Linked DNA regions of Sus scrofa. The protein of the gene in region 1 purifies or fractionates together with the protein of each later gene. This does not show direct contact. Links are inferred from orthologs where the notes say so. Each region holds a gene or a part of one and is shown on either strand. Other genes may lie near its edges.

Evidence for each region. The genes of interacting proteins can lie anywhere in the genome.
Region 2: the proteins of TUBGCP2 (region 1) and MZT1 purify together in Homo sapiens (affinity purification with mass spectrometry; 4 studies listed by BioGRID and IntAct, counting the BioPlex papers as one, with this or other methods). This does not show direct contact. The link is inferred for Sus scrofa from reciprocal best matches to the Homo sapiens genes TUBGCP2 and MZT1.

What each region holds. Positions count from the first base shown.
Region 1 is NC_010456.5:141,238,911-141,244,354, forward strand, and holds part of TUBGCP2 (gamma-tubulin complex component 2), read right to left. Parts: intron 4,200-5,444; coding exon 3,992-4,199; intron 3,832-3,991; coding exon 3,632-3,831; intron 3,280-3,631; coding exon 3,090-3,279; intron 2,606-3,089; coding exon 2,460-2,605; intron 1,363-2,459; coding exon 1,182-1,362; intron 775-1,181; coding exon 594-774; intron 1-593. UniProt on the Homo sapiens protein: Component of the gamma-tubulin ring complex (gTuRC) which mediates microtubule nucleation.
Region 2 is NC_010453.5:45,015,142-45,021,372, forward strand, and holds the start of MZT1 (mitotic-spindle organizing protein 1), read right to left. Parts: upstream 3,869-6,231; 5' UTR 3,646-3,868; coding exon 3,576-3,645; exon of another isoform or gene 2,510-3,575; intron 1-2,509. Other genes in the region: BORA (protein aurora borealis), read left to right, coding at 5,015-5,167. UniProt on the Homo sapiens protein: Required for the recruitment and the assembly of the gamma-tubulin ring complex (gTuRC) at the centrosome.

The sequences.
Region 1 (5,444 bases):
AGCAAAAAAGAGAGAGAGAGACTGCTCAAATTACCAAAATCCGAAGGGAGAGTGGGGTCATCACTGCCACCCTGCAGGAATAAACAGGACTACGCGAACTGTCTGCCACGCAGATTTGCAGTACACGGGAATACCGAGACCGACTCCAGGAAACTCAGCACTGGCACAAACCGTAACCAGGGAGGAGTCAAGAAATACTCAGACCCTCGCAACACAGGAAGGGTCCTGGGTGAATGCTACCAAACCCTGCAGCCAGCATCCTCTCGGATCCTCCGGAAACTTCCAAACCGCTCGAGCAGAGGGGCTACGAGGCCAGAGACGCCAGAGACCAGCCCACACGCCTGCGGGACAGCCACGGCCGCAGACCGCAGCCCTGGCTGGCAAGGCTCACACACCGCGACCCGAGGGACTGAGCCCAGGATGCAGGCGCTCAGCACTGGCGGCCCTGCAGAGCCGAGGAGACCCACGCGAGCCGAGGAGACCCACGCGAGCCGAGGAGACCCACGCGAGCGTGTGAACCGAGGCAGGAAGGGCCGCCGTCGGGGGCTGCCGTCTGCAGCGCCTCCTTCCGGCGGCTCCGGCGCCCAGCCCACCTTGAGGTCATCCTTGAAGGGGTCGGTGTTGGCCGTGCTCATGCGCAGGGCCAGCTCCAGCAGCGCCTCCAGGCGGGTGGGTGTGATGTCGTCCACCGGCTTCTTCAACTCCTCCTCCGTCAGGTCCATGAAGTGCACGAAGAAGTCGCCCTGGTCCATCAGGAAGTAGCGCTTGATGGACCTGCAGGCGGGCGGGTGGGGCGGGAGGCTGCGGACCTGAGGACGGCCTGGGCGCTGGGGCCGGCGGGCCCCCCAGGCCCCGGGGGTCCACACCCACGGGGCCTCCCACTGGTGCCCACAGCAGGAGGTACGTTCACAGGGGATGCGGGGTTGGCTCAAAATGAGCGGAAACCTGCAGCAGGGACCCGGGACCACCAAGCCCAGCTGTGCAGGAGGAGATGCGGCCAGAAACGCTGTGAAGGACTTCAGAGGGGGCCCCAGGAGGGGCTGGTGGCCCAGTCAGGGAGCCCTGCCACGGCAGACAAGGGGACACGGGCAGACACCACCCTTGGCCGGCCTCTGGGGCATCAGGTGGGACCGAGTGGGGCTCCTCGGGCTGCAGAGCCCGGTGCGAGCGGGCCGGCGCACCTCAAGTGGGCCAGCAGCTCCTTCTCCCCCATCAGGAAGTCCAGCAGCACCTTGCTGGCGTAGCTGAAGGCCTTCTCGATCTGCTCCACGTAGGCCCGCTCCTTCAGTGTGTAGACGACTTCTTTGGCCACTGGGCAGGTGACATCGTGACCACATTCTCTGACCACGTTTAGATACTTCCCTGGAGAGGGACACAGGAAGGCGCATTACAATTTTTGCTGCTTACGTCATAAAATCGCAGGCCTGAACCCCAGACGCTGCAGCCCAAACACTGGCCAGGGGACGGGAAGAGCAGGGCCCAGCTAAGCGTCCTGGGAGCCCCTCGCCCAGAGCGGAGCAGCACAGCTGTCGCCCCTGAAGGGCTGCCATCTCCCGTGACCCCTCGTGTGTGCACTCTTCTCATCAGGGACACAGACTCATCTCAGCGCCTCACAGGGACCAGGTACTACATCAGCTCCCAACCCTCCCCAGCCCGGCCCTCAGAACCCACACCTGTCTCTAGTCAGGTTCCTGACCCACGTGGGGCCTGTGTCCCTGACTGACTCCTGAGCTGGCCTGAGACACTGTGACCTAAGACTCCTCGTGCAGCTGGTCTCCGTTCCCGGCCCTGAGCTCCTCAAACCCTCGGGATTTGGTTGCTCACAGGCCCCTTCCACCCCTCGGAGTCCAGGCTAATGGGGCTGCTCCTGGCCGTCCCTCCAGAGCGTCAGGACGGGGCTAGGGGCCAGAGGAAGCACCACGTGAGCAGAGAGCGGACCCTTCCGGCCCCGTTTCAGCTCACGTCCGGGGGGCTGGAGGCTGGAGGCTGAGCGAATCACCAGGCCGGGGGTCCACTGTGGCCGGACCTGCGTGAAAACCCCGCGGGAAGGGGTCTGGGAGCCTCTGAGCTGCTGGGGGCTGGGGGCGGGGGGATGGCCGGTGCACCCCAGCTCCACGGGGCCAGCCGCCCCTGTGCTCAGGACCGACCCCTCCAGACCTGCCCCGGGGACGTCGGGCTGGCCACCTGCATCCTTCGCCACGTCCTCTACAGCAGGCCAGCAACCCCGTGGGTCAAGTGTCCCCCGGGTTCCGGGAGCCGTCACAGCAACAGGAGGAGGGGCGGTGGACAGAGGTGCTGTGGCCTGAGGACCCGGCACCTGTGGCTGGCGTCTGGGGGGGGCGGTGCTCGGGGGAATGAGCCCTCACCCAGTGGGGCCTGCACCGACCCCGAGCAGCTGGTGTCCGAACTGAGGTGTCCCCAGGGGCTGAGACACGCCCACGCCTGGGCGCAGCAGTCACCTGTGCTGAGCACCTTGCCGGCCATCTTCTGCAGGAAGGACGGGATCTGCCGCTGCACCACGGTGTAGCGCTGGTCCCAGTACTTGTCGTTGTAGTCCTCCTGGATCTTCTCCTTGCGCAGCTCGTGCTCCTCCACCATGAACTCGCTGAAAGGCAGGGCGGCCGGGCTGGAGGGGCGGCCAGGGCCGCGCGAGCCGCAGCGCCCTTGGCTCTCAGCTGTGTGCGGGTGGACCCGCCGGCCTCGCCGCAGGGGCCCCAGGAGCGGACGAGAGGCTGACGCCTCTTTGCTGTCGCCCCTCCTGCTGGAACCTCGAGCTTGGGCAACAAAACGGCACTCCCATCAGGCACGTGTGCCTGTCACCAACAGAGCAGGCGCCCTCTCGTCATGGGCCAGAGGTCGCTTGCGTTCGTCGCGACCGTGGGAGGGCGTCCTCGTTAGGCCTCCACACGAGGCGCTGCTACTGGGCCGCTGACCGAGAAAACTATTTCTGGGCAGCAGATTCCTCCTTCAAGCTGACAGACACCCGTCCGAGCTGGACGCGTCGGGAGCCCCCGCCCCGCCTCCTTCTGGGCCCGCAAGGTGCCATGCTGAGAAGGGCCTGCCGCCCGCGCGGGCGCCCCGGGGCCCACCTGTACGGGTCGTCGATGATGCCCCTGTAGATCCACTTCTCCAGGATCTCGAAGTAGGGCGTGCTGGCGGCCTTGGTGAGGTGCAGACACAGCTCCTGTGCCTGGCTGTCGCCCGTGTAGCTGAAGCTGCGGTCGTGCAGGAGGCTCAGGGTCGCCCCGCCGATACACTCGCCTTTATCCACCGAGGTGGCTGCCAGGGGAGGAGGCAGGCGGGGCTCAGTGCTGAGAGGGCTCAGTGCCACGGGGTCCCCGTGCCGGGCCAGAGCCCCTTGGCGCCCCTCTCGCCTCCTCGGGGGACGGGCTTGCTTTCTCTTTCTTTTTTTTGGTCTTCAGTCAGGTTCTTAACCTGCTGGGCCACGACGGGAATGCGGGACAGGCTTTCTCTGTGGGATGGACTCAAACTCTAAGGCTGCACTTTCTGGCCACTCCCCTGACCGCTCCCTGTCTTCCGCCCACACACCAGCTAACTCCCCACGAAGCTACACAGCCTGGCTCTCGCGACCGTGAGCAGTGGAGGCTGAGCACCCCAGCCCGGGCCGCACCCAGGGAGGCCAGGATGTCCAGGGAGCGCATGGCAGGCTGGATGTAGAACCAGAGCTTCTGCAGCGACAGGAGGCCCTGCCTCTGCAGCTGCTCCAGCTGCGTGACCAGGACCAGGTACTCCTTCACCAGTGTCCTCATGGCAGCCGCCAAGGCGTGGTTCACCTGCCCGTACTCGAAGGAGGACTTCTCCTCGATGAACCTGCAGCACGAAAGGCACACAGCCCAGCCCCAGGGCACAGCCGCCTCAGGAGGCCAGGCCGCCTGCACGCAGCTCCTCCCCAGGAGACACCCCAGGCGCCCTCGTCCCTGCTCCCCGGGGCCTCTCCCCAGAGAGGGCTGAGCAGCTTTCCCGCATCTACCTGGTCACGGTGGAGTAGCTGGCGGCCACCGGCAGGATCCTGCTCACCAGCTCGCGGATGGACAGGTCCAGGTTGGGGTCCACCAGGAAGGTGCGGCCCTGCCTGCCCGTGAGGGGCTGGGCGCTGATGTACCTGCCGTCCACGCCCACCAGCACGTACAGCAGGTCCTCCACCACGGCCGCCTCCTGGGAGGCCAGGGGCAGCGAGCCTGTGGGCCGAGATGCCGGCTGGGGCCTCGCCGCCAGGCTCCCCGTGCGCTCCCCTCGCGCACCTGCCTCCGGCGCTCGTGGACGGCGGAACCACGGTGCTCATGCGGGGCCCCAATGGCTGTGCCTCCACAGCGACCACCAGGAGAGGCGCTTGGGCACCCTGGGAGTGGCCCTGCCTGGCAGAGCCTGCGCGCACCAAGCAAACGGAAGCCCACACATGCGCGCGCATGCGTGCACACACACACACACACACACACACACACACACACACACATGCGCGTGCGTTCCTGTCTAAAGGGACCAGGCTGGGAATCGGAAGCACTGTTTTTTGTGTGTGGCCGCACCCGCGGCATACGGAAGTGCCTAGGCTAGGGGTCAAATCAGAGCTGCTGATGCCGGCCTAGGCCACAGCCACGCTGGATCCTTAACCCACTGAGCGAGGGCAGGAATCGAACCCACATCATGGATACCAGTCGGGTCCTTAACCCACTGAGCCCTGGTGGGAACTCCCCAGAAGCACCTCTGATGCGCGCCGTACTTCCAAGCTGTAAGCCCGGGCCGTGTGAGGATAAGGAGGTTCTCTGTGAACGCTTCAAAGAGCCGACGGTTTCCACCCCACGCGTGACTGAGATGGTTCCCTGTGACCCCGACAGACTCAACAGTCACAGGCCACGGACCAGGGCCGCCCCCCAACTCCTCACAGCCCAGACAGTCCTGCCGCCCTCCCAGACCCCCACTGGTGGAGGCAGCACCAAGAGAAAGGCGTCCGCGACATTGCCAGAGCCCCGGCCCCGCAGGGCGGCCCCTGCCCCCCACGCCCCCAGGCCCTGTGGGGACCCAGGTCAGCAGCAGGGCACCCAAGCCGGGGCCTGGCAGCTCAGGATGGGCGGCCCAGACACCCAAGCTGACAGGGGCACTGCCGGCTGCACACATCCGTGGGCACACACCTATCTGCAGAGGTGGGACAGGTATGAGTCCAACGGCCACCTGTCCAGGCACCGGTCCCTCTGGACTCAGAGCCACTCCACGCAGACCCTCCACGGCCCTAGCGGCCTTCGGACGTGACCTTCACGACCCTGGAGGTGGGCAGGTCTGGCCGCCTGGTCTTCAAGTGCAGGGCTGCTGACCTCTGCACCATTTACTGCCAACGTCGGGGCCACCCCGGCCTGGCGGGGGGCGCAGGCCCTGGGGTGGGGACCCTGCCCGCAGCGCGGGGAGAGGAGCGTCACAAGCTGCACCGCGTG
Region 2 (6,231 bases), on another chromosome or scaffold:
GGATCCAGCACTGTCTCTGTGGCTGTGGTAAGGGTCACTGCCATGGTGCCAGTTTGATCCCTGGCCTGGGAACTTCCTCATGCTGAGGGCGCAGCCAAAAAAACTAAACCAAAACAAACAAACAAACAAAAACCCCCAAATCAAAACAAAAAACCTCTTGAATTTGCCAATATGCATATGCTGAGAACTATCTACAGAGCATTTGCATTTATCAGGAATTACAAACAACTGAGAGATGATTTAAAGAATACAAGAGGATATATGCAGGTTATGCAAGTGCCAGGCCATTTTATATAAGAGACTTGGGCATCTACAGATTTTGGTGTGGGTGTTGGGCAGATGTGTGTCCCGGAACCAAGTGCCCTGCAAATATTGCGGAACAACTTTACTTTGAAGCCTCTACCAAGGAAGAGGTACTTTATAATCACCATTAACAAAAACAATATCTAGTAGTAAGAAATTAGAGGCATATGAAAAATTCTAGAACATTAAGAAAATAAGAATTAGGGAGTTCCCATCATGGCACAGTGGAAACGATTCCGATTAGGAAAACCATGAGGTTGCAGGTTCGATCCCTGGCCTCGCTCCGTGGGTTAAGGACAGCATTGCCGCAAGCTGTGGTGTAGGTTGCAGATGTGGCTTGGATCTGGCGTTGTTGTGTAGTGTAGGCCAGCAACTGTAGCTCGGATTCGACCCCTAGCCTGGGAACCTCCATATGCAGCAGGTGAGGCCCTAAAAAGCTGAAAAAAAAAAAAAAAAAGAAAAGAAAGAAAAGAATAATTAAAGTATGAAGCTATCAACAAAGAGTATCTAAAACTTCAAAATGTTGAAAAACGAGAGACAATTAAGTATACGGGAGGAGTGAGAAAGGTAGCTGAAAGATCCTCTCACATTTCAAAGAGGAAACGAGAAGCTGAGGCTCTCAGAGAGCACCGAGGAGGCCCTTTACAACAGACCCTTTACTAAATCACATTAGGTCCTTTCCAGTGATCTGTGCATATCAAAATCCTTTCATTTCACAATAAAATTACAAATGTTCATAGCTGAATTCTACAACCCTTGCGAATCATTCATTTGACATTACTTAAAAGATTAAAGCACTGTGAGCTGACTCTTAATACGGATGGGAGGGAGGGAGGAAGAGAATGAAGAGAAATATACTAGATCTTGAAGGAGGGTTGCCAGACCCAAAAGGTTTTGAACACTTCAGTCTACTACAGTGAAACCCCACACTGGCAGAATTTCACATAATAATGGTGCCTGAGTAGTTTAGCCCAGTTCCTTGGGCAAGTTAGAGCTCTATTTCTAGGAATTGGGGGGGATTATGAAATGGCTGCATTTAGTACTTTTTTCAGTTCCATGTAGGGTCAAATTCTTTTTTTTTTTTTTTTGATCTTTTTGCCTTTTCCAGGGCCGCTCCCTCGGCACATGGAGGTTCCCAGACTAGGGGTCTAATTTGAGCTGCAGCTGCCGGCCTATGCCAGAGCCACAGCAATGTGTAGGGTCAATTATTAACATTGCCAAGTGTCACAACGTTTCCCTTTGTGCCTTAATCATCCGAGGTGGCATGGAAAATAGTTTCATTAACTTAGCAATAATTAAACTTCACATTTTATGTGACTGATTATTTTGGACCCAATTATGGCAAGACAGCACAGAATTTCTGTAAGTTTGGAGTTCTAATGGACACGACAGTTCCTAAGCACATTTAACAGATCCTGATTCACTGGCAACCTGGGGCCTTCCTTTTTACTTTTTGGATTGTGGGCAAACCATGTGTAGAGGAGCAGTGTTCTTTAATTCACACATGCTCGCCTCCGATGCTGGTTTAAAAAAAAAAAAAGCCTGGTCTTTCTTTACCTTTTCATGTTCTTATACTCTGTAATCTTCATTTTACATAAAGTTCTCTCGGCAAAAATCTTGATAATGTAACCAATACAAATGATTGGTTCTCCTTTCTACATCAGTTGTTCCACCAGAGAGAAAATGTCAGTTTTCTATTCAAATGGGATATTGTGGCCATATAATTAAGGAACCTAAGCACAGCTAACATAAAGAAAACTGCCTACAAGTCAGGCTTCATATACCCTCCATCCTGTTCAAAAACCACACTGGCTTCCAAGCATGGATATCTAAGACCATAACGTTGTTCACATATAGTTACCATGTAAACAAATCCACTTAACACCTAATAAGCTATGATATATCAATAAGGATGGGAAACAGGCTGAATACGGAGTTAAGAAAAAAAGTCTATTTTTCAGAAAAATAGCAAAGCAGCAACTAAGTAAAATATTAGACCCCAAAGCGCTAATAATATAAAGAAGTCTTTTTGAAAAGGAGAGCAGCCAGCCAGTGCAAAAAAAGGCAGAAGCATTATCAGAAGTCTCCACAAAGAGTGGCTCTGATAGGAAATGGACCTTACAGTGAGACAGAGATGAGGCATGAAGGCTGACAATGCTTACCTGTGAAAATTTCTAGTTTTGACAGAATTAGAAGGTGAGGTGGTATCCTCTGGAAAATGCAAAGTTTTAACATGCATCAAATCCTCATATACAGGGGGACGCAAATGAGGCGTCCGCAAGTGGGATAACATCTTATACACAAAGTACAGGAACTATCTTTTAACTATCTCTGAGATGCCCTTACTTGGTTTTTTATTTAAATATTCACACAACTCTAGGTAACTTCGTTTTACGGGGGGCGGGGGAGGAAAGCAAGCTCAAGGATGTCTAAGCAGCTTGTCCAAGCCCACCACCACCTGGGGTAGAAAGTGGCAGAGAGGAGAGGATAACTTCCACGCGATTATTTTTCTACTACTTGCGGGTAGGTTTTACCCCCGTGCTCGGGACTCGAAAAACAGGTAAATACGCCCAGAGCCCTCGACACAGGCATCACCTGCTCCAAGACTAAACCGGTCCGCTGCACTTTTGATAAACGCACAACTTGTTCCTTCACGGTCTATTTAAAATGCGCCTGCTGACGTGCAAGGGACAAAAGATGTAGCGGTGACCAAACACGTGAGGCCGCTCTCCGCGAGGGGCTTAAAGTCTGGCAGAGGCTTCTGAGGCGCTCCCCGCAGTAGAGGGAGTGAGCCAGCTGGGCGGGGCTGGCAAGGCCCGCACCAGAGGAAGGACGCGGGAACTCGAAGCGGGAGGGGGCGTGGCATAGGGAGGGGGCGTGGGCTGAGCGTTCCGGTGGCAGGATTCGGGTACGCAAGACCACGGCGTGGGGAGGGGGGCGTCGCACCCGGAGAGAGGCGCGGGAGGGGGCGTGGGATGTGCACGCTGGACACGGACTGCGCGCGCGGTCCAGCGCGACAGAGGCTGAGCGCGCGCCGGGCTGACGTGGGGCCGCAACGCTGTGCGCGCGACAAACTACGCAGGAGCGAAAAGACGACTCCGAAGGGATGAGGCCATCAGCCCCGCGGCCTTGGCGGGGTGCCCTGACAGACTCCCCAAAGATGCAGATCAGGCCAGGAAGTGGACCTGAAGTCCCTTTGGGCCCACCCCCGCCTGGGGGCGCTGGCTTTAAGGAACGGATGCAAGGTAAAGGGGGGCGAAACGGGCACTCACCGTCCATGGTCTCCCTCACTGCATTCAGATTCGCCGCCGCCGCAGCCCCGGAGCCGCTGTTACCCGCCATGGTGAAGGCCGAGGAAGGGTAGCGAAGGGCCTGACCCGGAACTGGAGCGCCTTCCTTTCTCCTGGGCAATCACACCGCGCGTCCCCTTCTCACGCCGGTCAGGCCCCGCCCACGCCTGGCAGCCCCGCCCCTCGCGCCCGTCGCCGGCGTGAGGCTGCGTTGATTTGAATTTGGAGCCTCGTTACTCTACGCGGAATGCGAAGCGAGGAGTTGCCATTCGAATTTACTACGCGGCCTCGACTCGATTGGCTGGTTCGCGGACAGCGGTGCGGCGCGATTGGCCAGTCGCCCACAGGGCCAGAGCCCTGGTTGGCCTAAGACAGCGCGGAAGCGGGGAGTTAAAGAGTCTGCCTGTCGTGTGAGCCGGCCTGGCACCCCCGGGGCGTCCTGGAGTCGCTTTGCGGGGGGGCTTTCTTTTTTTTTTTTTTTTTTAAAAACACACAGCTAGGTACGTTGTCTGTAGTTCCTGGCTTTTCCTCCTGTCTCGAATTGGAGAGCTCACTTTGCCCAGCTCCGGACCTGCCTGCCGGCTCTCCCGGGATGAATGGGAGCTGCCAGGGAGTAGGTGCGGAAGAAGGGGCGCCAAGAAAGAGTGGTCTAGTAGGGCTGGCGATGACACCGGCGTGAGTGCCCTCCTCTGCTCTTCACCCGAGGAGGCCAGCTGCACATCAGCCTTCCAAGGAGTAGGTCCTTTTTCTCTGGTTGTAGCTTCCTTTGACAGGAAATAATTGTCTCGCCTTCTGTCCTGGGGGTCTTAGGGAAACGAGGGTGTTCGAGAAAAGGCAGCCGAAAGCGGTTAGTTTCCTAGCCCTAAACAGGCACACTCTCTTTAATGTGCAAGAAGGGCACGGTGCACAAGCTTCCTGGTCTCTTATTTGCTTGCTGTAAATAACTGATGTTTAGTAATTGCATTTTTCTAGGAAATGACTGGGCTCTCCGAATTATGCTCAAAGTGCTTAGAGACTTGAGATAATGAATTAAAAAAAAAAAACTGTAGGTATAAATTCTTTAGTTGAAAAAGGCTTTGTGCCTGTTGTGAACTTTAGTTGCCTAGAAGGTGGACCGGAACTCTCATATTTGGACTGGTACTTGTAAGCCACTTAAATTCTCTGAGCTTGTAGATTTTCTGCAAAAATCTCTCTCCAGCACCTTCCCCCTCTAGCTTTCTAAGTTATTTAGAGGATCACCCTTGAGAAAATGTATGTGGAGCTCTTGTTAAACTATTTTTTAAAAATCCCAAGAGTGCTAGCTTTTGAGTTAATTCTTTTATGAAATGTTCGTTGAATATATTTTAATTGTCAAAATGAATGTCTGAAACTTTGTCCTTTTATACACACTTATGATTTCTTTTTAGTTTTCTCTCTGCGCTATGGGAGATGTCAAAGAATCAAAAATGCAGATAACACCTGAAACGCCAGGAAGGATCCCTGTTTTAAATCCTTTCGAAAGTCCTGGTGATTATTCTAGTCTCCATGAACAAACTCTCTCCAGTCCTTCTGTTTTTAAATCGACAAAATTACCAGTAAGTTATGCTTGACTAGTGTTTACAAATAGCTTTGAATGTAAATATCTTACTTTACAAGATAAGTAGGTGATTTATCCTGGAACATATGTATCTGGAATGTGCTTTTTAATTGTACCATTCATTATAATATAGTTGTTGGGCAAAAAATAAGTTAACCAGATTTTTTAAATTAGCATTTCTTTTTATTTTACATACTTAGGATTTCATGTTAGTGTAATAGATAATGTGTTAGTTTCCTACAACTGTGGGTTCAGCTAGATAATGTGGTTGATGACATATGTACTAACACTGTAATAGAGAAGAAGCCATGTCGTTTAATTATCTATTCTCACAAATTCAGCAAACATTATTTGAATGCTCTGGGTTGAACACAGTGCTGGGTACAGAGGTGACATCTTGAACAAGTCCGGGTCACAGGACAAAACTTTCAAGGAGCTTATACTCTAACGCAGGGGTCAGCAAAATTTTTCTTTCAAGGGCCAAATAATAAATATTTTAGGCTTTGCAGCTTATCTGGTTGCTGTTGCAGCTGTGCACTTCTGCCTTGTATTACGGAAGCAGCCATAAGTCGTATTTAAATAATAAATGTGGCATGGTTCCCACAAAGCTTTACCTATGGACACTTGGAATTTCATGTAATTTTCACATGTTGTGAAATAGTAAGCTTTCAGATTTTTTTGTCAACCGTTCTTAGCTTGCAGACTGTTTGAAAAAGAAGTAAATCTTGGGAGTTCCCGTCGTGGCGCAGTGGTTAACAAATCCGACTAGGAACCATGAGGTTGCGGGTTCGGTCCCTGCCCTTGCTCAGTGGGTTAACGCTCCAGCGTTGCCGTGAGCTGTGGTGTAGGTTGCAGACACGGCTCGGATCCAGCGTTGCTGTGTCTCTGGCATAGGCTGGTGACTACAGCTCCGATTCGACCCCTAGCCCGGGAACCTCCATATGCCGTGGGAGCAGCCCAAAGAAATAGCAAAAAGACAAAAAAAAAAAAGAAAGAAAAAGAAGTAAATCTTGGAGTTCCCATCGTGGCTCAGCGGAAATGAATCTGGCTAGTAGCCACCAG